Linked DNA regions of Callithrix jacchus. The protein of the gene in region 4 interacts with the protein of the main gene of each other region in a pairwise test. Links are inferred from orthologs where the notes say so. Each region holds a gene or a part of one and is shown on either strand. Other genes may lie near its edges.

The links.
Region 1: the proteins of SAXO1 (region 4) and ZMYND19 interact in binary tests that used the Homo sapiens proteins (3 or more experiments, as listed by UniProt). The two-hybrid records come from large-scale screens. The link is inferred for Callithrix jacchus from reciprocal best matches to the Homo sapiens genes SAXO1 and ZMYND19.
Region 2: the proteins of SAXO1 (region 4) and FHL3 interact in binary tests that used the Homo sapiens proteins (3 or more experiments, as listed by UniProt). The two-hybrid records come from large-scale screens. The link is inferred for Callithrix jacchus from reciprocal best matches to the Homo sapiens genes SAXO1 and FHL3.
Region 3: the proteins of SAXO1 (region 4) and FHL2 interact in binary tests that used the Homo sapiens proteins (3 or more experiments, as listed by UniProt). The two-hybrid records come from large-scale screens. The link is inferred for Callithrix jacchus from reciprocal best matches to the Homo sapiens genes SAXO1 and FHL2.

What each region holds. Positions count from the first base shown.
Region 1 is NC_133502.1:185,937,531-185,944,897, reverse strand, and holds the start of ZMYND19 (zinc finger MYND domain-containing protein 19), read left to right. Parts: upstream 1-3,003; 5' UTR 3,004-3,263; coding exon 3,264-3,314; intron 3,315-3,480; exon of another isoform or gene 3,481-3,843; intron 3,844-4,802; coding exon 4,803-4,862; intron 4,863-5,294; coding exon 5,295-5,417; intron 5,418-5,631; coding exon 5,632-5,738; intron 5,739-6,329; coding exon 6,330-6,470; intron 6,471-7,367. UniProt on the Homo sapiens protein: May be involved as a regulatory molecule in GPR24/MCH-R1 signaling.
Region 2 is NC_133508.1:74,579,380-74,586,897, reverse strand, and holds the start of FHL3 (four and a half LIM domains protein 3), read left to right. Parts: upstream 1-3,239; 5' UTR 3,240-3,313; intron 3,314-3,471; exon of another isoform or gene 3,472-3,643; intron 3,644-7,518. UniProt on the Homo sapiens protein: Recruited by SOX15 to FOXK1 promoters where it acts as a transcriptional coactivator of FOXK1.
Region 3 is NC_133515.1:15,510,216-15,517,771, forward strand, and holds the start of FHL2 (four and a half LIM domains protein 2), read right to left. Parts: upstream 4,780-7,556; 5' UTR 4,665-4,779; intron 1-4,664. UniProt on the Homo sapiens protein: May function as a molecular transmitter linking various signaling pathways to transcriptional regulation. Negatively regulates the transcriptional repressor E4F1 and may function in cell growth.
Region 4 is NC_133502.1:125,550,207-125,557,073, forward strand, and holds part of SAXO1 (stabilizer of axonemal microtubules 1), read right to left. Parts: intron 3,981-6,867; coding exon 3,801-3,980; intron 1-3,800. UniProt on the Homo sapiens protein: May play a role in the regulation of cilium length. Stabilizes microtubules at low temperature.

The DNA.
Region 1 (7,367 bases), about 60 Mb from region 4:
GTTTTCTCCAGCTGAAGGTGGGAGAAATGGGACAGACCAGAAGGCTAGCTCTGGCCGCACGCAGTGGCTCACGCCTGTCATCCCAGCAGTTTGGCAGGCCAACACGGGCAGATCACCTGAGATCAGGAGTTCAAGACCAGCCTGGCCAACATGGTGAAACCGTGTCTACTAAAAATAGAAAAATTAGCTGGGCGTGGTGATGTGCACCTGTAGTTGCAGCCACTTGGGAAGCTGAAGCAGGAGAATCACTTGAACTCGGGAGGCGGAGGTTGGAGTTAGCCAAGATCATGCCACTGCACTCCAGCCTGGGTGACAGAGTCAGTCTCCCTCTAAAAAAACAAAAAAGAAAGTCTTGCTGGTTTTGAAGTTTGAAGATGTGAGCAACCTCTGGAGGCTGAGAACAACCCTGAGCCAGCAGCCAGTAAGGGGAGACCTCACACAACCACGTGGAAGTAATTGTCAACAATCTGAAGGAGCCTGTGGGCGGGTCTCCCTCCGCCCCTGCTCAGAGCGGAGGCAGCGGACCTCCCGATTTCAGCCCGGAGACCTACCGCAGAGAAGCCAGTCAAATCCACCTGCACTTCTAATGCAGAACTGTGAGAGTGTGTGCTCTTTTGTACCACTGCATTTGTGGTAGTTATGAAGCCATACAAAACGAACTGAGACAGCAAGTATAGACAACCTGTCACAACTTTTGCTGGGACAGGAAGCAGGAAAATGAGGCAGTGGCTGGAAAGGGACGTGGGGCCAAGGGCTTCGGTTTAAGGTGCATGGCCACAGGAGCGGGATGCCGTAGTGATAGGAAGCGCCACCCCAGTGTTTCATAATTCCACCCTCGCAGGACACAGAGGCAGGGTGCCACATTCATACTTCAGTACAATATGTCGATAAAGCAGCCTGCTTGTGGGGGGCCAGGTACGAGTTCCCAAGCCAGCTGGGCACTGCCCACAGCACTGCGCTGTGTCAAGACCTGCATGTCTTTCTCAGCTTCGAAGCCAAGAAGTCACCTTGTCCGCAGCAGCCTCCAAGCAATGACTGCAAGGTGAGGGGTGAATGCTGGGTTCCCCTGCAGCAAGGTGAGGGGATGAATGCCTTGGCTCCCCTGGCCCTCGGGGAGGGACTCTGAGGATGGTTCCTACACGACCTCCTGCCACAGTCACTGGACTGGTAGCAGCCCCTTACTGCCTCACACCCCCAGTCTCTTGCTAGTGTCTTCTCTCAAGCTAACAATTTGGACTTTCTTGGTTCACTGCGAACTTGTCTCCCAGGTTCAAGCGATTCTCCTGGGATGTCTCCCCGGAGTAGCTGGGATTACAGGCATGCGCCACCACGGCAGCTACTTTTTTATTTATTCATTTTTTTTGAGACAGAGCCTCTCTCTGTCACCCAGGCTGAAGTGCCGTGGCTCGATCTTGGCTCACAGCAACCTCTGCCTCCCGGGTTCAAGTGATTCTCCTGCTTCAGCCTCCCAAGTAGCTGAGATTACAGGCGCACTCCACCACACCTGGCTAATTTTTGTATTTTTAGTAGAGATGGGGTTTTTCCATGTTGGTCAGGCTGGTCTCAAACTCCCGACTTCTGAGATTATAGGTATGAACTACTGGGCTTGGGGACACCAGTGCTTTTCAACTACCCTAGGGAGGACTCATCAAGCTCGTCTGTGTGGCCCCACGTCTTTTCACAAAGCAGTTGCTCATAACCTCATCACACCCTGGGAACTCTATAAAGTAGGACAGGTATGTTTTGAGCTAGGCTTCGCCTGAACCCGGATGTGTGTCTCAGGCAGCCCCTTCTCTTCTCTAGGGTGCCTGGGGGTACTGGCAAGTACCAGGGGACCTAGAGGTGGAACGTCTGGGCTGATTCATGAAAACCTTTTGCAGGCTGGGCATGGTGGCTCACGCCTGTAATACCAGCACTTTGGGAGGCCGAGGCCGGAGGATCAGCTGAGGTCGGGAGTTCAAGACCAGCCTGACCAACACTGCAAAACCCTGTCTCTACTAAAAATACAAAAATTAGCCAGACGTGGTGGTGCATGCCTGGAATCCCAGCTACTTGAGAAGCTGAAGCAGGAGAATCTCTTGAACTCGGGAGGCAGAGGTTGCATTGAGCGGAGATTGTGCCACTGCCCTCCAGCCTGGGTGACAGAGCAAGATTCTGTTTCAAAAGAAAAAAAAAAAAAGTCGGGGGGTTAGAAGACAGAAGCCAGCAAGCCAGAAAGAGGCCTGTGCAGCTCCTCAGGTGCCGGAGTCGCCCCTGAAGCAGGGTGAGGGCTGCCGGCGGCGACTGGACACCGCGGAGCAGGACGCAGCATCCGGCCCCGTTCGCTCCAGGCTGCAGGGCAGGCCACGCTGCCCACCACTGCGCTCCCGGCCTCCCTGAGCGGGTCTCGGCTTTCCCCGGAGCCTAACGGGCCTCACTGGAGTCTGGGACCACCACGGCCTCTGGAGTTCCGTTTCCTGACGCCTTAGACCAGGCTGCTCCGGCGGCCAGCCGCCCTCCGGGTCGCGTGGGCCAGGGGTCCGCGGTATCTCCAGGCACTCCCGCGTCCCGAGGCAGCAGCCTCTTCCTGGCCCGCCTCGCCCGCTCCCCTCCCGCTCAGCGGGCCCCGCACGCGCTCCGTCCGCCTCCTCCTTCCGCAGTCGGGGCCAGGACGGTGGCGGGAAACAGCATACGGGGGCGACGGCGAGGGAGGCGAAGGGCGGCCGGCTCGCAGAGCTCCACGGGCCCGGCGCGAGTCCCGGGCCGCGGCGCGCATGGCCCCTCCGGGCGCGGCGCCGCCACCCGCACAAAGCTTCCCGCGAAACTGACGTCGGCGCGCGCAGGCACCGCCCCCGGCCTCGCCCCTCCCCCGCGCTCGCCTCGCTCCTCAGCGCGCCGGCGCCCTCTCCCTCCTCCCATTGGTTGTTACAGAGCGGCGCGCGCCGACCGGCGCCGTGCGCGCCTCCCGATTGGTAGAGCGGCGGCGGGCCGGGGGGTGTGTCCCGGGCCGCGCCCCGCCCCTCCGCTCCGCTCGCGGTGGTGCGCGCGGTGGCGGCGGCGGTAGCGGCGACGGCGCGTGGCAGGTCCGGCGGGCGCGAGGCGGCGGCGGCGGCGGCGGCGGCGGCCCGAGCCCGGCCCAGCCTCGTCCCGCCCGGGGCCCGCCTGGCTGCGACCCCGACCCCGGCTGCGGTCCTGTCCTGCCCCGGCGCGCCGCGGCCTCGCCCGGCCCCCGCCCGGCGCCTCCCGAGGGAGCGGCGCTGCCGGCCAAGAGCGCAGGCCCGGCCATGACCGACTTCAAATTGGGCATCGTGCGGCTCGGCCGGGTGGCCGGAAAGGTGAGCGGCGCGGAGTGCGCGGCCCGGCCCGGCCCATCTTGCCCGTCCTGGCCTCCGCGCGGAGCCGGGGGCGGTTGTGCGGGCGGCGGCCGGGGCGGGGGCGCGGAGCCCGGGATGAGCCCCGGCGGGGTGGGGGGCGCTGCGCGGGCCCGACTGCCGGCCCCGCGCGGGTGCAGCTTCCTCCCGCAAGGCCGGTGGGCACGCACCTCGGCTCCGGGGCGCACCTGGCCGCCCTCGGCCCTGCCCTGCCGCAGGTGGAAGCCACGGCCCTGTCTCGAGCCAGGTGCGGAGATGCCTGACTTGAGCCCGGCCGGTGTTCATCCGGAGCCCTCCCCGTGGTGCCGGCGAGCCGGGGCCTAGTGCGGTGTCCGGGCTGCTGGAGCGGCCACACGGTTTAAACACAGCGCCCTTTCGAGGCAGCGCCACCTCCACACCTCTCGCCGAGGCGGGTCTGGTGTGGGCTCTTCCGTGCCTCCCAGTTCGCAGCAGGGCTTCGGGCTCGTTTTAACGCTGCCAGGCCTTGGCCAAGGTAGGCTGAGCCTCAGGCTTAGAGCAGAGAGGCAGGAGCCTGGGTCCTGATGCTGCAGACTCAGGGCCTTCCCCTACTTCTCCGTACCGGTCCTCACGTTTCACGATTGGGGCCGGGGCTTCCATGCCACCTGTAGGCACTGAGGCTTGGCGGTTTCTGGAGCCACCTGTGCAGCTGCACCAGCCAGGTTCTTGCCTGGATAGGAGCCCTGTTCCCATCACCAGTGGCTGCAGCTTTTCTGGTGGGAGAGAGGAGTGGAGGCAGTGGCAGGCGGCGTCAGGTCAAACAGGTTCAGATCCCAGAAAAAAAAAAAACGTCGAGAGAGAGACTGGTCGGTTCCTGGAGCTGTTTCTGTTTCCTGCCCCTGCTCCAAGAGCATAGGTAGGGCCTACTGTGGAGGAGGCTTTCCCACCGGGGAAGGGTGGGCTCCCCAGTCAGGTCGAAGACCCGAGACCCCTTCCAACTCTGCCACTGATGGCATTGTTATCCCTTATAGCTTTTCTTTGGAACATTTTGGGTGGACAGAAAGCTAAAAAGGGGAATTCAGTGAGTACTTCAGCTTAATAAACACACCCTAATCAAAACCTGGCTTTTCTGCCTCCGTCCAGGCCCCTCCCTCAGCCCAGTGAGTTCGCCTCTGCCTAAGTGTATCGGTGCGTTAAATGTTGGGTGCCACTGTTGGGTTAGGCCTGCGAGGATGGGGCCTGATACCGGCTCCTCTGGCACAGACTAAAGTGGGCAGCTGGCTTGTCACCGGTCTGCCTGCGTTTTTGCACAGGCTGCACGACCCCAAACTGCAGAATGAGACCCCCACGTGCTGAGCTGCCTTCCTCTGAAGAGGCCTGTGGTTACTTCCTACTTCACAAGAAAATGCAGCAGGCTCCTGCCTGTTATGGGTTATAAGGCTGCTGCACTTCAGGATCCCAAATGTAATGGTTTGAAACGTGGTTACTTTCCAGACCAAATACACGCTGATCGATGAGCAGGACATCCCGCTGGTGGAGAGCTACTCCTTTGAGGTGAGTGAGGATGGCTGTTCCCTCCCCTGATGCTTGTGGTCAGTGCTCAGGAGAGTCATGAGGAGCTCTGTCCCCTGTGCTGCAAGAGCAGGCGGCCCCACAAGTGGATATCTGGTGCCAACCTGTGAGCCCTGAGCCCTCAGCTGCCACATCCAGCGGTGGGCCTGCAGACCCTGGCTGTCGCTGCCACCAGAGCCCTTGCAGCCTGATGACACGGCCTTCCCTCACTTTCACCCTGTCTGCCAGCCCTTCTTGAAAGCAAATAGTGTGTTCTCACGTTTGTAATCCTGTCACGTGGGCCGTGTCTGTTAGCTTGGATGACCCTGCTCCTTACAGCTGGCCACCTATGCTTGGCCTGCCCTAGCAGCCCCTCCAGGTTGCCCAGCTGCCTCCCGTTCTCTGCTCTCATGGGGTCTTCCTGCCTCTTCCCAGCTTCCGTTCCTGCCACTGAGCTCGGCCTCCCTCACCACGCTTTATCTCTGCGCCCCACACATTCGCAGTCGTGACTTGTCAAGGGGTATCTCCATCTTACTGCACTGTGGGCTTTTTTTAAGGGTAGGAAAATGTATTGAATAGAAGCATGGTGGGGGGACACACTGGGCCTGGGGCCATGTGCCTGTGGGAAGCGCCACACTCCCCAGGGTCTCAGGGACAGGGCTGGCATTTGTCCCTCAGGCTTGCCTGTTTCACGTGGGTTTTCTAAGAGGGATTTGAGGTGTTGCTGAGAATTGGAGCCTTTTTAATAGCTCTTTTCCTTGTTCCTTCTCAGGCCCGAATGGAAGTAGATGCTGACGGAAATGGCGCTAAGATATTTGCCTATGCCTTTGACAAGAACCGAGGAAGGGGCTCTGGGAGACTCCTTCATGAGCTGCTGTGGTGGGTGTTTCAAAGCTGCCTCTGCCCCCTGCCACAGGGCTCCTGGGTGAGCTCTGATGGCACAGGGTGCCTGGAGCCCCCTGCCCCGCCGAGGCCCTGCCTTGCCTTCCCTGAATTTCGCATTTATTTTTGTGTCCTTTGTCACTAACCTAGAGGAACGAATGATTTGTATATTGCACTTCAGACACCAAGTGGACTTTCTGCTGGGCGCTTGCCCAGGACCGGTGGCTTCTGGAGGGAGAGTGGGGTTGCTCCCCTTGCTGGGTCTTCACTGAGCCCCCCAGTGTGCATGGTAGGGGCCACTCAGATGGGAGCTGTCTTGAGTCCGTCTGCTCAGGTGGTTTTGGGTTCCAGCCTTAACTCTGCTCCTAAGTCCAGGGGCCAGGTCCTCTCTGTGTCCCTGTCCTGTTTGGGCCACAGACCAGGTGCTTGGATTCCTCTTGGCAGTTTCTGTCTGAAGCACCCTCATCTGTAGGAGCAGGGCCTGATCAGATCACATGGCCGATACTTCTTCCTGAAAGGACTTTGATGCCTGATCAGAAATACCCGTGAGGGTGGGAGGCGGCAATGCAGGGCACTGTCTGTTTCTAGGGAGCGGCACCGGGGGGGCGTGGCCCCGGGCTTCCAGGTGGTGCACCTCAACGCAGTGACTGTGGACAATCGCCTGGACAACCTGCAGCTGGTGCCGTGGGGCTGGCGGCCCAAGGCTGAAGAGACCTCCAGCAAACAGAGGTGGGTCTTCTCAGGGCCTGGTGAGGCCAGCAGAGGGGCCTTTTGAGGAAGGCCACCTTTAAAGCGCTCATTTCTAAGAGGGTCTCATGTTCTTCTTCTGAGCCCTGATGCTTCTGTGTGTTTGGGACTTTCACTGTTTTTCCCCAAAGCGTGGAATGCTCCTTTTCTTCATGGGAGTGGGAAGGACCTTGATAGTGTGTTTCTGCGTGGGTCTTCTGATAACTGGCCTGGGAACCCCCCGTTAGCCGATGTGATGAAGTGGGGAAGAGGGCTGCCTGCTCCAGGGCAGGGCTAGCACCGGTATTCGGTGGGAGCAGGGCTCCCAAACCCCTGGAAGGCATTAGCCTTCTTTCCTCCCCTCAGGATTTCTTCTGTGCACAGAGATAGCTCGGTCTCTTTGTTGTGTTCTTTTGCTAAACAGTTTTCCTTAAGCAGATGTTTAAAGCGGAGGATACGTGGTTCCCACCTGCCTGTGGTCCTGAGAGCAGTGCTTTGCATGGGCTTCCCACATGGGAGGGCAGTTCCTGCTGCCCCAGGACCAGCCAGGCTGTGAACTTTGTGGAGCCCTTGGGAGGAGCGGAGAGACCACAGGAGGATGGGGGTCCCCTGGGGCTTCTGGGCAGCCTTTCCTGGTGCAGGCAGTGCTGACTGCCCTAGCAGATATAACCTAGCAGGTTATCAGCAATGCTGGTAAGGTTTAGGATTGCGGGCTTGGCGATGGTTGGTGGCTGTGGGTGGAATCTTTGCAGTTTTCACCTTGGTCGTGCCAGAGCCCTGTGCAGCCGAGGTGGAGACAGTGGGACACCTGGCAGACTGGTTGGTGATGTGGGGACCGTCCCCAGGCCTCCAAATGCCACCCTCAAATTGCTGCCTTGGAGGGAGTCCTACAAGTCCCCC
Region 2 (7,518 bases), on a different chromosome or scaffold from region 4:
GTGGGGCGCATAGATAGGGAACAGGAACAGGGAGTCCATGTGGCTGATCCCAGGACTTTCCTGGGGCACATCCTCCTGGGCCAGCGAAAATAGAGTGAGCAGGGAAATGTGAGCCCACTGGGGAGTGGAAATTGAGACGGGGAGACACAGCTTCCCTGTGGGCAGCTTGCCCCTAGGCTGGTTTCCCTAGCCCAGGTGGGCCCAAGCCAGAGAGCTAACTCTCTGACCCCCAGACTCCAAGGCTAAGCAGCCGAACCTTAACATTTGACCATGAAAGGGGGACTGTCCCCACATATTAACAGCCTATTATGTGCTCTCATCCAATCCTTACAACAATGCTGTGAGGCAGTCATTCACTTTTCACAGCAAGAAGACTGAGGTTTACAGAGATAAAATGACTACAGATACTAGAGCCTAATGGTGAAGCTCATTTTTGGCATAAGCGCTATGACATCTGACTATCTAGATATGATTATTTTTTCCCTCCCCACCAAGATGGAGTCGTGCTCTGTCGCCCAGGCTGCAGTGCAATGGTGCGATCTTGGCTTGCTGCAACCTCTGCTTCCCAGGTTCAAGTGATTCTCTTGCCTCAGCCTCCCGAGTAACTGGGATTACAGGCAAGTGCCACCACACCCAGTCAATTTTTGTATTCTTAGTAGAGATGGGGTTTCACCATGTTGGCCAGGCTGGTCTCAAACTCTTGACCTCGTGATCTGCCCACCCCGGCCTCCCAAAGTGCTGAGATTACAGGTATGATCCCAGCCTGTATTACAGCCACTGTGCCCTGCTGATTTGATTTTTCGTTAAATAAAGATGGGGCGGGGGTCTCACTTTGTTGCCAGAGCTGGTCCTAAACTATTGGGCTCAAGCAGTCCTCCTGCCTCAGCCTCCCAAAGTGCCGGGATTACAGGCAAGAGCTACCATGCCCAGCCAACAATCTGGATTTGAATCCTAACTTTGCCCTTATTACCTGTGTCGCCCTTGCCAGGTTACTTAATCTCTCTATGCCTCCATTTTCTCATCTTTAAAATGGGGATAAAAAATATATATTTAGACCAGGCGTGGTGCCGCATGCCTGTAATCCCAGCACTTTGTGGGGCTAAGGCAAGTGAATCACTTGAGCCCAGGAGTTCAAGACCAGCCTGGGCAACATAATAAGACTCCTGCTTCTACAAAAAATAAAAATTAAAATAAATTAGCTGGGTGTGGTGGCCCATGCCTGTCTATAATCCCAGCTACTTGGGAGACTGAGGTCGGAGGATCAGTTAAGCCCAGGAGGTTAAGATTACAGTGAGCTGTAATTGCACCACTGCACTTCAACCTGGGTGACAGAGCAACACACTGTATCAAAACAAACAAACAAAAAATATATATACATATATTTAATAAAGTTCTTGAATAATAAGGTATGTTAATATATGTAAAATGTTTAGGACTGGTGCAAAAAAAGAATTCAGGAAGTACTGGCTCTTGTTATGACTAGTTAGGAGGGATTAGAGCCATGCATCAAGAACAGAGATTCCAATATTCTGCCTTTCATCGGGCCCTTCTGCACCCACTCATAAACTCCCGCTTTCTGAAGGGGCCCCACCTTTGCCCTCCCATCAGCCCAGAGCTGACCTCCTCTTGGTACCCACTCTACCAAGACTGAGTACTCTTCACTGCTTTGCCCTGGGCTGGGAGTTTCTTACACCTGCCAGATAAATCCCAGAGAGGCCAGGTGCAGTGGCTCACACCTGTGGCCCCAGCACTTTGGGAGGTTGAGGCAGGCAGATAATGAGGTCAGGAGTTCAAGACCAGCCTAGCCAATATGGTAAAACCCCGTCTCTGCTAAGAATATAAAAAAATTAGCCCGGCGTGGTGGCATGCACCTTTAGTCCCAGCTACTTGGGAGGCTGAGGCAGAAAAATTGCTTGAACCTGGAAGGTGGAGGTTGTAGTGAGCCAAGATCACGCCACTGCCCTCCAGCCTGGGCAGCAGAGCGAGACTCTGTCTCAAAAAAAAAAAAAAAAAAAAAAAAAAAATCCCAGAGAAAGGCCCCATCCATGGGCTGGATGCTCACTGCCTGGACTCTAGAAAGCAGATGCCTGTGATCCCAACTGAGGATGTTAGAGGGACACCCATACTGAAGCAGTGTCTGTCATCCATTCAGTCATCAGATGTTTATGATGTACCGGACCCTGGGTTAAGCACTGAGAAGGCAGTGGTGAACAAAAAAAGAGTCCTGCCTTCATGGCTCTTACCATTTAGGCAACAACAGCAATCATAAACAAGCAATGATTTAATTTTGAAAGGAAACCAGGCCTGGAAGGTGACTTGGGACCCAGGAACCCAGGCATGACACAGAAATGGGAGGGAAGGGTTCTCAGGAGCCCCAGCCTGGGAGGGTGTTAGTTCCTCCTTGAGAGCTCAGCTGCACCCAGTCTGGGGTGTGGGGAGGTCTCTGTGCACCTGAATCTTCACTCTAGATGCTAAGGTTATTCCGGGGTTGGTTTGCTGTCTCTTGTTTCCCCAAACAACACAGTAGAGCCTCCTGCCTCCCTCCCTCCCCACCCTTCCAGACCAAGGCTATTTATTCCTAGTGACAAGCCTGAGGATGGGGGGTGGGTAGCCTCAAGGACCTAGAGGGGCCTCGTGTCCCTAGCAGGCGCCAGTCCTTCCTCACAGACACAGGGAGGAAGGAAGCCAGCGGTTCAGACACTACAGAGGTCCCCTCCGCTCTCCTCCACCACCCCTGTGGCGCCCCATCTTCTCACACTCCTCACACCTCTCCCTAGAAGCCAAAGATCATGGGGCCAAGGATTAGGGTCTCCCCGGAGCTTCAAAGGTCAAAACTATTCCTGGGCACTGCGGAAACCCAGGCAAAGCAGGACTTCTCAGTGTCAGGAGGCTGCTGGAGATGGGGAGGTGGTTACCCTGTTTTTGTCACTCAAAGTTGTGGAATAAAACCCTTTGAAGGTCAAGGCCCTATGGTGGGGAAGGGTCCTCTCTTTGCCCCATGTTTTCAGAGAACACCTTGGTACCCGCTGACAGCCTCAAGACAGCAGAGTCAAAACCTCCTCCTCCAGCCTGGATTAAGGCCGGGCTGAGTGTCACCCCTAGGGCTAAGGTTGGGGTTGCGGGGAGATCCGAGGGGGCCAGAAGTCTTTTCCCCAATGGACTGTGGTCTGCGGGGTCTGGTGCCGCCGGCCTGAGATGGAATACAGCAGTCTCCCTCTGGCAGCTGGGGATGGGGGTGGGAGGGGAGGACAGCAGCGGCTGCGGGGAGAGGACAGGGGCTGGTTCCCGGCTGCCCGAAGGTTGGGAGAGCCAGGTTAGGCCGGGAGGGAGGAGGGGGCCGGGCCGGCAAGCGGCCGAAAGGGAGGTGGGGGCGGGGTCTGGCCCCCGCGGCGGGCTGGGGGGCCGGGGGCGGGGTCCGGGCGGGGCAGGCCGGCGCGGACTTCCTCGGGGAGGGGTTGGGGCCGCTCTCCCACTCGCCCACACGGTCCGCCTGCAGTCGGCAGCCTCGCCGGCAGCTCGCTCGGCCCCCGCTCGGCCCGGCCCGCAGGTAGGAGCCGCCGAGGAACGCGGCGCCCGGTTCCCGGCCCCGCCCGCGCCCCGCGCGCCCCGCTCCCGCCGCCCGCCGCCCGCCGCCCGCTTCGAGGTGAGCGCCACGCCGACCCCGGCTCCCAGCCCCGGCCGTCCTCCCCCTCGCCCGGGCCGGGGAGCGAGCGGACCCACGGAGGGCTGAGGCCAGCCGCGGCCCCGGCCCCCTGTCCCCGCTGGGCTCTGGCGGCGGGCGCCCGGGACACGCCGAGCCCGGGAGACCGCCTGCCCGGACTGGACCCCTCCGGGCTGCCCGGCGGGACAGGGGCGGGGGCGGCAGCGAGAGTTGGGCGGGGGAGGGGGGCTAAGTTTGAAATAGAAAAGCCAGAGAGAGACAGACCGAGCAGGAGCGCTGGAGAAACTGAGGTTCTCGGAAAGCCTGGTGGAGCGAGAGACCGAGACAGGCAGGGACTCGAGGCACAGGAGGCTATCGAGATCATTGAAACAAGGACACACTGGGCGTACGGAGTTACCGGTGGACAGACCAGAGGCATGGGGGCCGACCCAGGCTTTGTGGAGCATTTTCAGAAAAAGCTTACGTAGAACCCCAGCGAACACATTGCTAGGGCCCTTCTCTGGGCCTTGGAGGTGCCCTGCGGCGTGGGTGTCAGTGGCATCATGCTGAGTCTGCTCTCTGAGGCCTGCAGAGACACCAAGAGACTAAAGACAGAGACATTCAGGTATGCAGAGATGGCGAAAGAGACCTGGATGCAGAGACAGAGAAAGGGAGGTAGTAGGCATTGAGATATTCAGCCGTGTAGACAAGAAGAGACCAAGACTTGAGATCCACAGAGGCATGGGCCCATGGGGGGACAGCCAGTCAAGATACAGGGCCGTCCAAAACCTAAAGACAGCAGCTGAAGTGTGCCCAGACTGACATGCTCAGTGGAGCAGAGACAGAGACTTAATGGAGGCAGAGAGACCTAGGTGGGCTGACAGCTTCCAAGACAGCCCCTGACATACCCAGGCCTGAACCATTGGGGACACAGAAACTCTGAGCCCACTGATCCCTCAGGAGGCAGAGGCCCGGAGACAGTAAGTTCTAGATCAAGAAGAGCCCCGTGCGTACACACACAGCCACCAGGACAGCCCTAACTTATTTTTAAACTCAAATCTTGGACGGGCTGCCTCAGCCCTGGGGGACTGGGGTGAATGAACTGTTCCTCTCCTGTCCTCAGAGCAGCTTCGGGATCCTGCTCCCCAACCCCCTTCCCTAAACTTCTCTGACTTTCAGGCCCCATGGGGGAGAGCAGAGCTTGGGGCTGGTGCCTGCTTGCAGAGGGTGAGGGTTGGGGGAGTTGAATTTCTCCCTTCAAGTCTCCTGTCAGCTTCTAGAAGGTGGGGGAGGGGTCTGTTCTGATCCTGACTCACAGCTGTGGGACCTGGCCAGGGTCCTCCTGGACAGTGGGTGTGTTGGGGGTGGGGGACAGAAGGGTTGAATGGTTGGCATGGGTCATTGGAAAGGCTTCTGGGTGCCTTCCAATCACAGGGCTAGCAGCTAGGGAGAAGAGCCAGGCTCTGCTGCATCTCCTGTCACCCTGCCCTTAAAAGCTGACCATCTCCTTCATCACCAGGGCAGCATTTTTAGGGAGACAGCAGAGCTCTGGGCTGGGAGGCAGGGGATCTGGGTCCTGATACCTGAGTGATCTTGGGCATGACCCTGCTCTGTTCCTCAATTGTAAAATGGGGATACATTTTACACAAAAAGCAGGAAGGAATAACACAAAAGGCAGGAAGGAATGATACTCCGTCCTTCCTGCCTTTTGTGAGATCTGATGAGATGGGATAGGCATGAACTTTTCGAGTGGCAAAGCAGCATGCAGGTGTCTAACACCCGTGGACCTGTGTGAGAGATCTCAGATTCATGCTTACTAGAGTCAGGCTGATGACCAGGCTGGAGTGACCAGGACACTGGCCCCACTGGTGTCTTCTGCAAGTCCCATGGGCCTGGGGCCTCCTGTTCTCTTCCTGAGCCTACACTGAGAATGTCCAGGTCAAATTTCAGAACAGGCTGGGCACAATGGCTCATGCCTGTAACCCTAGCACTTTGCGAGGCTGAAGCTGGAGGATCATTTGAGGCCAGGAGTTAAAAGACCAGCCTGGGCAACACAGTGAGACACCCATCTCTACAAAAAATAGAAAAACCTAGCTGAGCATGATGGCACATGGCTGTAGTCCCAACTTCTCAGGAGGCTGAGGCAGGTGGTTTGCTTGAACCCAGAAGTTACTTTTTTGTTTTTTGAGACAGAATTTTGCTCTTTTCGACCAGGCTGGAGTGCAATGACACAATCTTGCCTCACTGCAACTTAGGCCTCCAGGGTTCAAGCATTTCTCCTGCCTCAGCCTCCGGAATAGCTGTGATTACAGGTGCCCACCACCATGCCCTGTTAATTTTTGTCTTTTTAGTAGAGATGGGATTTTACCATGTTGACCAGCTGGTCTTGAACTCCTGACTTCAGGTGATCCAACCACTTTGGCCTCCCAAAGTGCTGGGATTACAGGCATGAGCCACCTCACCTGGCCGAGCTCAGAAGTTTGAGGCTTCCATGAGCCATGATTGTGCCACTGCACTCCAGCCCTGGCAACAGAGTGAGACTCCAACTCAAAAAAAAAAAAAGGCTGAGCCAGGCTGGCCAGTATCACAAAACTCTGTCTCTACTAAAAATACAAAAATTAGCTTAGCATGGTGGTGTGCTCCTGTAATCCTAGCTATTCCGGAGGCTGAGGCAGGAGAATCTCTTGAACCCTGGAGACGGAGATTGCAGTGAGCCAAGATCGCATTACTGCACTCCAGCCTGGGTGACAGAGTGAGACCCTGTCTCAAAAAAAAAAAAAAAATCTGGGCTGGTCATGGTGACTCACGCCTGTAATCCTAGCACTTTCGCCAGAGGAAGCCAGGGCAAGAGGATAGCTTGAGCCCAGAAGTTTGAGACCAGCCTGGGCAACATATTGAGACCCCATCTCTATTTAAAAATTCCAGTCCTAGCCAGGTGCGGTGGCTCACACCTGTAATCCCAGCACTTTGGAAGGCCAAGGTGAGCAGACCACAAGGTCAAGAGATTGAGACTACCCTGGCTAATGCGGCTAAAAATCCCGTCTCTACTAAAAATGCAAAAATTAGCTGCATCTGGTGGTGCACGCCTGTAGTCCCAGCTACTTGGGAAGCTGAGGCAGGAGAATCTCTTGAACCCGGGAGGCGGAGGTGCAGTGAGCCGAGATCGCACCACTGCACTCCAGCCTGGGCAACAGAGCAAGGCTCTGTCTCAAAACAAAAAAAAAATTCCAGTTCGGCTCCTTGATCCAGACCTACTTGTAAACCTGCTATCTGGCCGCAGTATGAGAGAGGACGCTAACAGTAAAAATACTGATAGCTACCATTTTCTGAGTATTTATTATCTGCCAGGTGCTTTACAATTATCATCACATTTAAGCCTGACAACAACCTTAGGAGGTAGGAAGTAGTAGCATCTCATGTAATTAGATGGGAAAACAAGCTTAGGGAGCTTAAGTGACTTGCCCAAGGTCACCCAGTTAGTAGGTGTAGGAGCTGGGATTCAAATCTTGCAGCTCGAGCCCCTCCACACACTACAGCCAGTTACACAGTCATTCTGAACTCCAGAAGGTTCCCTGGGAGGTGCCTTGTTGGGGGAGATTGTTGGGGGTGCAGGGGTTGAGAGCCATTTGTAGAGGAGCAGTCTCCCCCAAGCCCTGCCTCACTGCCAGCCAGGAAGGAACACAAGGCTGGCTCCCTTCAGTCCCCTCAGTCCCCAGCCTTGCCAGAGAAAAGGGTGGGGAGAGGGGTATGGGCAGAGACAGGTGGGCCTTGATGGTGCCCTTCACTCTGTCCTCATCAGAGCCCAGCTGGATAGACTAGGGCATTGGGGGATTCTGGGAAAGAAACAGAAGCCATGCCCATACCCTATTTGGGTTGCC
Region 3 (7,556 bases), on a different chromosome or scaffold from region 4:
CACCAACAACTATTATCTCTCTAATTCAGAGCTTCATTTTATTTTAAATCTGGAATCCAAATTAGTCTTATTCCAGATACTTTATGAAAACGTTTTTCTTTATTCCCGCTTTATTTTGGGGAGCCAAGAGACTTCCTTATTTCATCTTACAAAATGTTGGGTTTTAGAAATATCCCAAAGAGAACAAAGAGAAGCGAGGCAGCTCTTGTCCTTAAGTCATTACCTAGCCCTCAACACATTTAGCATGTTTTCTGGTACCTTGGAAGAAATCTTATCACTTTCCATCTCCGTATTGTTCACATTCCTTCCCACCTGTAATGTTCTCAGCCTCTGCTAATTCCTCCTTTCATCCAGGTGCCATGCCCCTTGCTCTGTAAACTTTATCCCAAGTATTCAAAAACATCCATAGATTTTTGCCCTCAATGCCTGCAGCATTCATTTATATCATTCAAACCATGCTGCCCATTGCATATGGCAAGAGGGTTGCTCTTTTGCCATTCAAGTCTAAAGCCAACTGGATTGGAACGTACTGGAAAGAAAGACAAAGGCCAGGTGTGGAGGCTCATGCCTGTAATCCCAACACTTTGGGAGGCCAAGGTGAGCAGATCACCTGAGGTCAGGAATTCAAGACCAGCCTGGCCCACATGGTGAAACCCCATCTCTACTAAAAATACAAAAATTAGCTGGGTGTGGTGGTAAGTGCCTGTAATCCCAGCTACTCGGGAGGCTGAGGCACAAGAATTGCTTGAACCTGGAAGATGGAGGTTGCCATGAGCCGGATTGCACCACTGCACTCCAGTCTGGGCAACAGAGTGAGATTCCATCTCAAAACAAACAAACAAACAAAAAATCCCAATAACGACAAAAAGACATTATCTTTAACTTGGTTGCACCCTCAGCAATGAATAGCACAGTTCTAAGCTTCAGTTTCCTTCTCCAAAAATAGGAGTAACGATAAAATTAATAGTAACACTTGCCTATAGGGCTGTTGTGTTAAATGAGCTAAAACATAGTTCCTGGATATAATGGTCATTCAATAAATTTTAACTCTTTTTTTTTAGTTGGGGTCTTGTTTTCTTGCCCAGGCTGTTTTCTAACTCCTGGGCTCAAGCAATTGTCTCCCTTCAGCCTCCCAAACTAGCCATTATTCTTAATAGGCTAAATCATTCTGGTTGGTTATTTACAATTTTTATAATTGGTGGTAATAATTAGAGTGTTTTACGTTTGCATAGAATTTTGCATTACTAAAACTTTTATAATCAGTTTTAGTGTAGAACATTTAGTAAACTATTTAATATGTAGAGAAAAATATAAAATTACTACTAATCATATCCTTCAGAAATGATTATTTTATATATTTTGGTGTATTTTTTCAGTTCATATATTATGAATATTGCTTTGTATTGAGAGCTTTAAAAATTGAAAGTTCTATGTAAACTTTATTTTTGATGGTTGCCTATATTCCATACTATGGCTATATTATATTTTATTTAACCATACTCCACTTTTGAGCCATTGCACTGTTTATTGGTTTTAGTTATTACATATTACATATATACACACACACACACACACACACACACACACACACAATGTTTTTATGTAACCCATTGTGTCTTCATCTTAACCATTTCATCTTCTTATAAAGGATACGACTTGAAGTAGAATATTCAAATAATGTCATTTTCTATTTTGTGTTCATATGAAACCATGGGCTAATATTTTGAAATTAGTTTAGATTTAGCTGCACAGAACCAAGCCCAGGGAAAAAGCACTATGATGGCTTTTACTTAATATGAAAATAGATGGTTGCCACAGACGCTTCAGATACCATCTAGACATGCTTATTCTTTAAAGACCAGAATAACAGCACTTTGGCAGGCAGAGGCAGGCGGACCACCTGGAGTCAGGAGTTCGTGATCAGCCTGGCCAACATGGCAAAACACTGTCTCTGCTAAAACTATGAAAATTAGCAGGGTGTGGTGGTACATGCCTGTAGTTCCAGCTACTTGGGAGGCTGAGGCAGGAGAATCACTTAAACCCGGGAGGCAGAGGTTGCAGTGAGCTGAGATTGTGCCACTGCACTCCAGTCTGGGTGACAGAGCAAGACTCTGTCTCGGAAAAAAAAAAAAGTCATAAAATAATAATAAAAGAGCAGAATGAAATTCTTGCACTTTCCTCTTAATACCTAATTGTATGCTCCCCCTTAATAAAACACATCAAGTATGTTTTATGAATTGTTGGCTTCAGATGGTTTTAGTTCAGCTTAATTTTTCAGCATTGCTCTTTAACCGCAACAAAAGTCCTGTGTTAAAATGAATTTTTATTCCTCTTTTCCCTATCTAAAATGTATCCATTAAATTCAAATAAAATCCCAAATTGTAACACATTAAATTACTCAGCACTTATGTTGGTTCTTTTCTGTTTTTCATCCATATTTTAGTGTATTAGAGACTAAGTGAGGAGGTGCTGATAAATCAATGGAATAAAAAAAAATCAGTAAACCAGATTTGTAAGGCATGGGGGGGCATGTAGATCAAGGCACAAGATGGTTGAATTTTTCATGATTCGAAAGGGACCAGTACTAGTGTAGAAATCAATTACCAGATCATACTTTGAACTGATGTTATATCGCTATATTCTAACAAAATATCTTATCTAAATCTTTATGCCCTTTGACTCTTCATCCATCCAACTATTATGAATATTTTAATATATTGACTAACCAAAATGGGTCATAACGATATATAGAGATAACCAATTTTCAAGGAATTAGATTTTGAAACAGCTGTAAGAGGCATTGACCATAAATTGGACAGAAAGCAGATTACCAAGTAATTTGATTGATGTATATATGTTTCTGTTAATTATAATTTACAGTTTCCCAAATAACTTAATGTTTTTGGATTCACCTTAAAATATCTCATAGTGGGATTAAAAAAAAAATCTATGAAGTGAATGGTTTACGTCTTTCAGTCAAAGATACCTTAGAATCAATAAATAATTAAAATCAACAATAAATTGCAAGAATAGTTATCTTTTGAGTAATAAGAGTATATATAATTTTCCATTTTCTTCTTGTTGCTGGTCTGTATTTTTTATAGTAAACGTAGATTATTTGTAGAGTAAAAAAAGAAAATGTAAGCACTCAATATAATTTTAACTCATTCTTTGGTGGAGAGAGAATGAATTAAAATCAGTCTCTGGGCCATGTATTGTAAATATGAAATATTTTAGAGATCAGTGGAAAGTGTGTCCATCCCTGTGCTTCAGGTCATGGGAATGCAGTGAGAGGCATGGCTTGGCCTAGCCTCGGGGATCTGAAATCAATGGAGAACTCTGGAAGCTCTAAATAGAACAATGAGACTTAAAAGTAAGAAATGTTCTAAAAGACAGGTGATGGGTGAGCAGTCTGGGAACCCTGTGTTGGAAAATATGCAACTTTTCATGGAAGTTATATTTTAAAATATTTTTAATATAAGAAAAAGCCTCCAAAATGTAATCATTTGAGTCGATTAGTCAGCTACTCAATTAAATATAAAAACTTGGGTCAGAATGATCTCAACATATAATAAACCTTATTCCAGCCCATCCTGGATACCCCAAAACCCTGATTTGATCATTACACATTCTGTGTATGTACTGAACTACTCACATGTACCCCATACATATGTAAATTCTATTCATGTATCAATAAAATTGTAAAAGCCTAGCAATAAAATAAAATTCAAATAATATTCTTCAAGAAACAAATAAAACAATGAAAATAAACTTACATACAGCAAATATGAGCTACAACAGCGTTAACCTGTAATGCAGGTATTTATTAACACTCTTCGGACTTCAGAATAATTTAGAAACAAAAACTGGACTGACAACTTTTTCTTTTCTTTTTAGATTAGACTTGATAAAGTGTCTTGCATGGAGTCTGGCTAGAAGATATTTATATAGATGATGTCTATTATCATATATATGTCACCCTATCAGTATTGAGATTATTACACAATTGGCCAGGGCGTTACTCAGGACTGTACATCCTAGAGTTTGCCCTGCTCTGGAAATTGTAAAATATTCATGCATTTCCTTTTTAAAGCATGCAACAGCTCTCTGGACTTTCAAACCATCAGCCACTAAGAGTCATGTTGTATAAACACACTTTCCCAGAGTAATCAGACTCATCAGTAATTTGCCATTTCAGCCCAGGCTTTCCGGAAATTCTGTCAGGGAGAAAAAGTTCAAGTGCACTGTGGTTTTCCCCGTTTCCAATGTTTATAATATTTCTTCTTTTGCTTTCCCCTTAAAAAATGTTTTCTGGTGTTCAAAATGGATTCCCACTGAGTGGAGGCAGGGGCTCAATTTCATTTAAACCTCTCCTCATTCCCAATGAGCAGGGTTCTCTATCTTCAAGCCAAGGACCCTGTATCTTTGGGCAGGGTGGCTTCCGTTCCTGGGCTTTGCCATTGGTAGGAGCCAGCAGCCAGCACCACCTGCATTTCTGCTGGGGTCAGTGAGCTCCCAGTGCCTGAGAGCTTCCTCCCAGGCCTGGGACGCTCCCTGTGCATGGAGCAAGATGCCTACACAACTGCTGTCCAAGCCTGCTGCAGAGTTAGGCTGGGAAGGATGGCAAGGGTAAGAGAAGGGCATGGGGAACCAGTGGTCCTTACCTGCAGTGTCAGGGTTCTGTCTTCTGTCCTCCAGCCCGATGAGCAGGGACAGCAGCCGTGCAGGCAGATGGCCTGGTTAGATGGCCCCAACCTTCTCTGCAGCTGCCAGCCAGCTGTGCTGCCCTTGTCAGTGGTGCTATAAATAAGGTGCATCTGGACATTGGCCAGGCTCAGGAGATAAGAACCCAGTCCCTGATTCCTACATGCCTTTTAAGGCCTCCACATTAAAGGAGCCTCGGCTCCCAGAAGGGAAAGGGCTGCCATGTCCTCATTTGTCCTGCCTGCCTCAAGGTCACCTCAGACCTCACATTTTCCAGCAACCCAAAGGGTAGCTGAAGTGGAAAGGCCACCAGTGCCAGAAAGGGACCTTACTTTGGCAAACAAGAGGTAGAACCTCCAACAGGCTGCCCAGCTGCACTTCTGTCCACCCCTCAGATTAGGTGCCTGGCATGGAGGCCCAGGAGTGGAGGGACACTTCCCCCAGGCCCCACAGCCCCTCTGTGAGCTGGGAAATGTGGATTCCTAGTGCTGCCTTCCGGAAAGAGCTCACTGACCTTCTCTTTGGCTTATGAGTTCATTTGCTTGGGTGAGAGGATGTTAGGGAAGCCCGAACAATAGGCTCAATAAATGGCAGGCATTTGGGAAGCCATGGGTGAAATACATTTGCAGAAATTTCTCTCCCTCCCTTCCTCCCTGCTCATGCATGATTATAAGGGTTTCTCGAGCCACACATTGTTTTCTCTATGAAATTAAAACAGTGAAATTCCCAGAGCCTTTTAAAAGCCATATGCTGGGAGAGGAAAGAAAACTAATTTGGGATATCAACAGCTCCTGATTCTTTTGAAATTTCTTACTTACGAGTATGCTGAAAAGGCACTCGCCCATGGCGAGGGCCAACTTCTTCCGAGGATTATTTGGTGAGAGCTGTCTGCATTACCAAAACAATTCTAGGCCTGCAGATTTATCCTGAGGAAAGAATAGTGTATATGGGCAGAGGACATTTCTTGAAGCTCTTTTTTTTTTTTTTCTCAAAATTAGGAAAAGTTGGAAACAACGTAAATAGCTCAGAAGAGGGGACTGAATAAATGAGAAATAGTATATGGGCTGGGCGAGGTGGATCACACCTGTAATCCCAGCACTTTGGGAAGCCAAGGCCGATGTCAAGACATCGAGACCATCCTGGTCAACATGGTAAAACCCCGTCTCTATGGAAAATACAAAAATTAGCTGGGCATGGTGGCGCATGCCTGTAATCCCAGCTGTTCGGGAGGCTGAGGCAGGAGAATTGCTTGAACCCAGGAGGCAGAGGTTGCAGTGAGCCAAGATTGCGCCATTGCACTCCAGCCTGGGTAACAAGAGCAAAACTCTGTCTCAAAAAAAAAAAGAGAAATAGTGTATGAAGAATCAAAACAGACAAGTCGCAGTGCTTTATGCCTATAATCTCAGCATTTTCAGAGGCCGAGTCAGGAGGATCACTCGAGCCCGGGAGTTCGAAGCTACAGCAAGTTATGATTGCATCAGCGCACTCCAGTCTGGGCAACAGAGCAAGATCCTGTCTCTAAAAGTAAAGTAAAAACAAAGCAAAACATGCTGCAATCTTTAGAAATGTCAAAGGAGAATATTTAATGATATAGGAAAAAAACATATAATATGTTGATAATAAAAAGCAAGTCATGGCTCAAGCCTGTAATCCCAACACTTTGGGAGACTGAGGCGGGTGGGTCACCTACGGTCAGGAATTTGGGACCAGCCTGGCCAACACGGTGAAACCCTGTTCCTACAAAAAATACAAAAAAAATTAGCTGGGCATGGTGGCAGGTGACTGTAATCCCAGCTACTTGGGAAGCTGAGACAGCAGAATTGTTTAACCCCAGGAGGCAGAGGTTGCAGTGAGCCAAGATCGCGGTACTGCACTCCAGCCTGGACGGCAATGGCGATTGTCCTTGAGGGAAAAAGGGTGTATGTATAATATGAAGCTATTACACACAGGTAAGCACCCTTCTCCCCCGTCCCCACACACGAACATCCTGAAAGGATATGCCACAAATATGGAAGGTGGTGATGGCTGGAGGAATGCATATGGCTGATTTATTTCTCCTTTGTCTTATATGCAATCTCTAAATTATTTACAATAATGTTGTCTTCCTTTTATAAGAAAATTAACTTCATCTAAAATCTTAGTTCTGAGAATCAGAAGACAACTTTCTATGTTTCTGCATGAATTAATCTGAGTTTATTTGAAGATTACAGTAGTCCTTGGGGTTTCCTCAGTCTTTGGGAAACCTATGTAAGGCCCGAAGCTTTTTTTCATGCCACCTTCAGTGATCTGATGCAGCTGGGCCTGTCGAATCCTCTAAGTGCCCCTGTCACAACAAAGGCAAGACAAGAGAAAGAGAAAGAAAAGAAAAGAGCACTAAAAAAAACAGAAGGAAAAGAAAAATAAACTTTATGTAATATATGTAATCATAATACATATTCTTATCACGCTGGGTCACTTTTATCTGACCTAACATGGCTCAAGTTATGCTCCGAACAGGACATTAGAAAGGCATTTAGTGGACCTTTTATTTAAAGGAAGTGCGTGTTTTAATGATTACTTTGTTTTTTAAAAATTGTTTTTAACTTAAGTAATGACCTCCCCATCTGACTGTGTGATACAGAGGAATTCTTCTTTTCCTAGAACTCATTTTCAGTGATATGTCTGATGGAAGTGAGGATTCCTCTCCCAACCTGGCTCCTGGGGCACAGAAGGCCTGAAATCCTTTAATTTCCTCTTCTGTCTACGGAGATCAGCATGGGGTTACCTACCCATGAATAGGACCTGGCCTAAGACACAGCATGAGGTAGCTTCAGTGCTTTTGTGTTGGGTCTTATTGCCAGGGGAGACTCTAG
Region 4 (6,867 bases):
GATAAGGGAGAAAAACTTGGTGAAGTGAAAACTAGATTAACAGAAACTATCCAATCTGAAGAACAGAGAAGGGGAAGAAAAGATTGGGCAGTGGCGGGGGGAATGAACAGAGCATCAGGGAAAGAAAAATTACTGGAAGAAATAATGACCAAAATGTCTGCAAATTTAATCAGAAATACATTATAGACAATTCAAAGGCTCTGAGATTACCTAAGCAAGTCCAGTGCTGAGAACTCTATCTGCCCTGTGTTCACACTGATTCTCAAGCCCAGGCTATGGAGGCTAAGTATACCCCAGTGGTACAGCTCTGAGTAGGAGACTCAAGTATGTATTTGAACAAAAAATATATAAAATTCAATAGGCAGCACAAGAGACAAGCCTGCTACCAACTTCCTTGCTTCTTTCCTGACCTTTGGAAAGGATACCAAATGCCTTTTCTCTCTCAGCTCTTCCCTCCCTTACTCTCTTTGGTTTACCAAGGAGTCTTGTCACTAAGTGACAGAGTTGATGCTGCCAATTCCCTGCCCTCTGCCTTTCAGCCACACCCATCAAATCCGAACTCAATTCTGTCTCCTCACTCTGTGCCGCCATTCCACTCCACCCATGGTCCCTCTCCCTTTAGGATAAAGATCTAACAGCACTGAAGACTCACCTCTTTCTTCTAATGCTTTTCATTTTGCCCATCTTTAGGAGCTGGCTTAGCTAACAGAATGTCTCAAATTGGGGTCCAAGTGTTTCACATGGTAACATGCCTATGGGGAAATGAGGCTTGAAGTGCAAACCTCTTATTCATAAATTGATCTCAGGTCTATCTGAACTAAAGGCAGATTCTATACCAGAGAATTATCAAGGATTGCAAGAAACCATTTCACACTAAGAATGGTTGGAAATCACAAGCATTCCCCTCATGGCACCTGCTGTAAATCCCCAAGATTTATGGCCAGTAAGAGTTGTGTGCAGCTGTAATCATGCCTCACGCTGAGATGATAACCTTTCCAGAAACCAGGTGTTTTTTTGTGTCTGGGCTTAATCACCAAACCCAGCCAAGCCCTGGACCACATGACTTTTTCATTCAGCAGGTGGGAGCCCTATATCCAACCTCAGAAACTAAGCAGAGTCAATGTTTAGATGAAGAAGTGAGCAGGATGTTCCAGTAATGAGTCTTAAGAGTAGAAGGGTGACAATCCGTGCAGATACAGGGGTGTGGAGAGACTGGGCTGACACATCCCTTCCCCTGTAAGCCTCCAGGGGAACACCCAGATACTAGCTTCCCTATATTTCCTGAGAGTGGCATAATTTTGTTCTCGGTCTATGAAAAATAGTGCCCAGCATGGCAGGCACAGGATTGAGAATTAATGAAATTGTGGTAGAAAGGAGAACATAGATGTCTTCTGCTCATTTCCTCCTTACTTCTCTTTTTAGGGTAGGAAATAAAAAGAATTTCATATCTGCTCTTTTTTCTCCCCATGGATAACCTTGATCCCACCACTTTTTTCTTTTTAAGGCCCTTATGTTCATTAATGGCTTATTTTGGAAATTCTTTCAGAATCTGCTTTCCTCTGCTTTAGCCACACTTGATGTACATGATATATATCGTTACTCCAGCTCTGGCAGGGGCAGAGGGCCCTTCTGGGTGATATGTTTATTGTTGTAAGTAACACAAGGCAAGGATAATTTAGGACAGGTCACAGGGTAAGTTTTTGTTTTGCAAAGCACCATCAGGAGGACGCAGGGCAAGGAGCTGCATCTGGGGGCCTCCGAGCTAGGTGTTGGGGCGAGACTTCAGCCACAGGACTAAGGGTTTGTCCTCATTCTCCTAAGCTTGTGGGCAACTAACAAAACAACCTACAACAACAAACTTTTAAAGCATCCTTGTCTGTACTTTCAGGATAGGAAATATACCAATGCCTGAAGCCAACTAGACATTTCACAAAGTGTTCATTTCCTGCAAACTGGAAATTGAAAGATAAAAAGACCCACACCTGGAGACTGAACATGATATTTGCAAGCCACATTTCAGTGCTACTCTTGTCCTTTCCTACCAGTTACATGTCTCTTGTACATGTGCTTATGACTCTTACTTGGTGTTGACCAGGGTTTCATAAAAGAAAACCAATGCTCAGAAATGGTTCACGCTTCTCATTATGGTCTTTAGACTCTCAGAGACAAAGAATACTGTTTTCCTGGCAAAAAGAAGCCCAAACTTTAGGGTTTATATTCTTTAATAAGTCATAGGTTGAAAAAAACAGCTGTGTAAATTATAATTTGTTAATACATCAGGACCCAGAAACACTGTGCTTAAACCAAATCATTTAAGATAAATGCTTAGAATAAACGTAATCATCTGGCCTTGGCAATATAGCAAATTCTTGTTTCTACAAAAAGTTTAAAAAGTAGTTGGACATGATGGCCCATGCCTATAATCCCAGTTACTAGGAAACTGAGGCGGGAGGATCACTTGAGCCCAGAAATTCGAGGCTGCCGTCAGTGAGCTATGATCACATCATTGCACTCTAGCCATGGCTATAGAGGGAGACCTTGGTTTTTTGAAAAAAACAACAACAACAAAGTGGCCTGATACAAATCAAGCATGAGACAAGGCCCTCAACTCCCTCTCATTCTCAAGCCCCAGCACAGTGGTTCCCATGAAGCTCAGGAATCCTTTGGCTTTGTTTCTCCCATTGTGGTTGCTCCTGCCCCAACACCCAGACATGGACTGCTCATGGATCTAGAAGATAGCAGTGTTGTGTACAGAGAACCTCCAACTCACAATCTCAACAGATGTTTCCAGTCCTATTCTGGAGAAAACCTGAAGGCAGAATGAGTTAGAATGGTTCTGCTTCTCCTACACCATCTGGGGCCTTTATTAGCACAAAATTATCAGGCAAAAGGGCAGCAATAGGAAGAAAAGTCACCAGGTCTTGGGCACCAATGTGCAAGCTTTGTGCTGGAACACTTAACATTCACCATCATCTCCACCTCATGGCAACCCTGCCCTTCAGGGCTGAGAACACATCAGTCTTTCAGGTCTCAGCTGAGGACAAAACTATACAATCTGAGACTGCTCAATCACACTCAAAGATGTTTCTGATCTACTAGATCACCAGTCACAGGTCACTAACTAAGCTGCCCATGGCAGATTCTCTGAGAGCCTTGCCTATAGAACAACCCTGAACTGAGAATTTTTCTGCACCACCTCAGTGCAAAGACCTCTGCAATACTAATGTACTGAGCCATGTGGCTCAGCCACTGCACAGACCTAGAGCTAAACATTCTGAGTTTGGGAGTCAAGAATAATTTAAAAGGAAAAAAAATTATTTCTTGAAGAATATTCAGGAGAACCCCAATTCAAAATGTGCAGCATAATTTTAAGAAAAAAAAAAACCTCACTTTTTCTCTATTGTCAAGTTCTCTTTCACCCCCCTACCCCCAACCTACCCAACCTGGTCTGGAGCTTTTCATGTAACAAAGCCCAAAACTTGCTTTTCGGCAACATCCCCCCTCCACTCTTTCCATCCCATAAATATTTTTCTTAACCTCCAATCCTTTATTATATCAATCCAGCCTTCCCCCAAGAATCCTTTCTCTTTAACAGAGGATTTGGGAAAAATTGAGAAGGCTCATAAATGCAGGATTTTCTTTCAGCTATATACTACATTAAGGCATTAATACCATATGTTGATACTGTACATTAATGCATTAGCACTGTACATTATTACATTAATATTATACATTAAGCACTGCACGTTCCTACATTAGTGTTGGATGTACCTGCATATATTAATACTGTTTGCCCTCACCTTGATGTAGTCAGGCCTTCCATTGGTACAGACCCTTTCTGGTACTCCCGCCTTGGCTTGAAGGACTCTCTGGGCAAGTAAGTGTGATAGAGAGGGTAGTTCTCGGTATATTCGGAGAGAAGACATGGTTTCTCTGTTTGATCGTAAATCTTGGTAGGGAGATGTGGACAGTGATGCCGCCTGCAAAAGACACAGAGTTAGCTTGGTTACCTTCTTGGGAGGAATACATCCAGTTCGATAAGAGTACTCCACCATATGTGATTCAGACCGTAAAATCTTATGACAGCCAACACTGAAAACCAGAATTCAACCCTTGCTTTTTTCCAGTAAACTATGTGAAGTGGCAGAAAATAAAAGTGGTCTGTAACTACAATTGGTTAATAAAAATTCCTTGGATCACAGAATTACACACAAGCTGTTACACATGCCACATTGCCTGTGTAAGCATGGAAATATTTCTGTACTATAATAAAGAAATAGCTATGTCCCAAGCACTCCAAGTGCCACCCAGCTGCCCCAGGTCCTCCCCTGTGGTCTCCCATCAACCCAAGAATTCAGGGCTTACTATTCACCTAACAGGGTGCTCTAAGGCTCTCCAATGGGGCCAGCCAGGGTCTTTTCTAACTGGTTGGCTCCTTGGTCAACTCAGAATATCATCATTGTACATAAATGATATCAATCAAAGCAAAATCACCTCAGTTCTGAGTCCAACAACCACCACTGACTATGTGAAACCACCTTCACATGGAAAGTCTCCCTCCTTTATTCTTTTAGGTCTCATTTCAGTTATTACAGTTTTAGAAAGACTTTCCCAGGTCTGGGATCATCTTATACCCAGGATCCGCCCCGCCACTGCATCCCCTCTCCCCACCACTCTTCCCTGGGTGTGCACATATTTTCTCCCATCACCCTGCATGTGCCTGCCCCATCACTTGCAGCTATCCATGACTGGCATATCTGCTGGTGAGTTTGTTTATTGTCTGCCGCATCTGTCACACTCAGGACCTTTTTCAACCTTGTCCACTGTTCACTGTACATGATATACATCTCTATACAGCATATCCTGAATTTTTCATTCAATAAATGTTTACAGAATTCATACTGGCACATTCAGTAAACATTTCTTCAATGAAAGACTGAGTATAAGTGAATGCTTATATAAACTTTATGCCTAGCGATGAATGAACTGAACAAATGATAGACAGTATCTAGCAGTTATAATTGACAATGAGCTTTTCCATTTTACATGCATGGTAATAAATGAAACTTATTTACTTGCTACTTACAGCTGAACTAAGGCAGCTGTTAAAGCTGTGAAAACTAAGTGAAGGCAGTTTATCAATGTTGTGTGTGCCCAAAGACAATCTTCACAATCCAGTTGGGGTCCCTCTCATCATCAGGCACCAGCAAATCAGCAAAAACTCCATGCTGGTGTTTTCCAACTTAGCTACCTTAATGAATGGCATATAATTGTTTTCCCATTTTCACACTGGACTGATTTTTTTTTTAATTTTTTATTGGATTTTAGGTTTTGGGGTACATGAGCAGAGCATGCAAGACAGTTGCGAAGGTACACACATGGCAGTGTGCTTTGCTTTTCTTCTCCCCTTCACCCACATTTGGCATTTCTCCCCAGGCTATCCCTCCCCACCTCCCCCTCCCACTGGCCCTCCCCTTTTCCCCCCAATAGACCCCAGTGTTTAGTACTCCCCTTTCGGTGTCCATGTGTTCTCTTTTTTCATCACCCACCTATGAGTGAGAATATGCGGTGTTTCATTTTCTGTTCTTGTGTCAGTTTGCTGAGGATGATGTTCTCCAGATTCATCCATGTCCCTACAAACGACACAAACTCATCATTCCTGATTGCTGTATAATATTCCATGGTGTATATGTGCCACATTTTTCCAATCCAGTCTATTATCAATGGGCATTTGGGTTGATTCCAGGTCTTTGCTATTGTAAACAGTGCTGCAATGAACATTCGTGTACATGTGTCCTTATAGTAGAACGATTTATAGTCTTTTGGATATATACCCAGTAATGGGATTGCTGGGTCAAATGGAATTTCTATTTCTAAGGCCTTGAGGAATCGCCACACCGTCTTCCACAATGGTTGAACTAATTTACACTCCCACCAACAGTGTAAAAGTGTTCCTTTTTCTCCACATCCTCTCCAGCATCTGTTGTCTCCAGATTTTTTAATGATCGCCATTCTAACTGGCGTGAGATGGTATCTCAATGTGGTTTTGATTTGCATCTCTCTGATGACCAGTGACGATGAGCATTTTTTCATATGATTGTTGGCCTCATATATGTCTTCTTTCGTAAAGTATCTGTTCATATCCTTTGCCCACTTTTGAATGGGCTTGTTTGTTTTTTTCCTGTAAATCTGTTTGAGTTCTTTGTAAATTCTGGATATCAGCCCTTTGTCAGATGGGTAGACTGCAAAAATTTTTTCCCATTCTGTTGGTTGCCGATCCACTCTAGTGACTGTTTCTTTTGCCGTACAGAAGCTGTGGAGTTTCATTAGGTCCCATTTGTCTATTTTGGCTTTTGTTGCCAATGCTTTTGGTGTTTTGTTCATGAAGTCCTTGCCTACTCCTATGTCCTGGATAGTTTTGCCTAGATTTCCTTCTAGGGTTTTTATGGTGCCAGGTCTTATGTTTAAGTCTTTAATCCATCTGGAGTTAATTTTAGTGTAAGGTGTCAGGAAGGGGTCCAGTTTCTGCTTTCTGCACATGGCTAGCCAGTTTTCCCAACACCATTTGTTAAACATGGAATCCTTTCCCCATTGCTTGTTTTTGTCAGGTTTATCAAAGACTGTATAGTTGTATGTATGTTGTGTTGCCTCCGGTGCCTCTGTTTTGTTCCATTGGTCTATATCTCTGTTTTGGTACCAGTACCATGCTGTTTTGATTACTGTAGCCTTGTAGTATAGTTTGAAATCCGGTAGTGTGATGCCCCCCGCTGTGTTCTTTTTGCTTAGAATTGACTTGGCTATGCGGGCTCTCTTTTGGTTCCATATGAAGTTCATGCTGGTTTTTTCCAGTTCTGTGAAGAAAGTCAA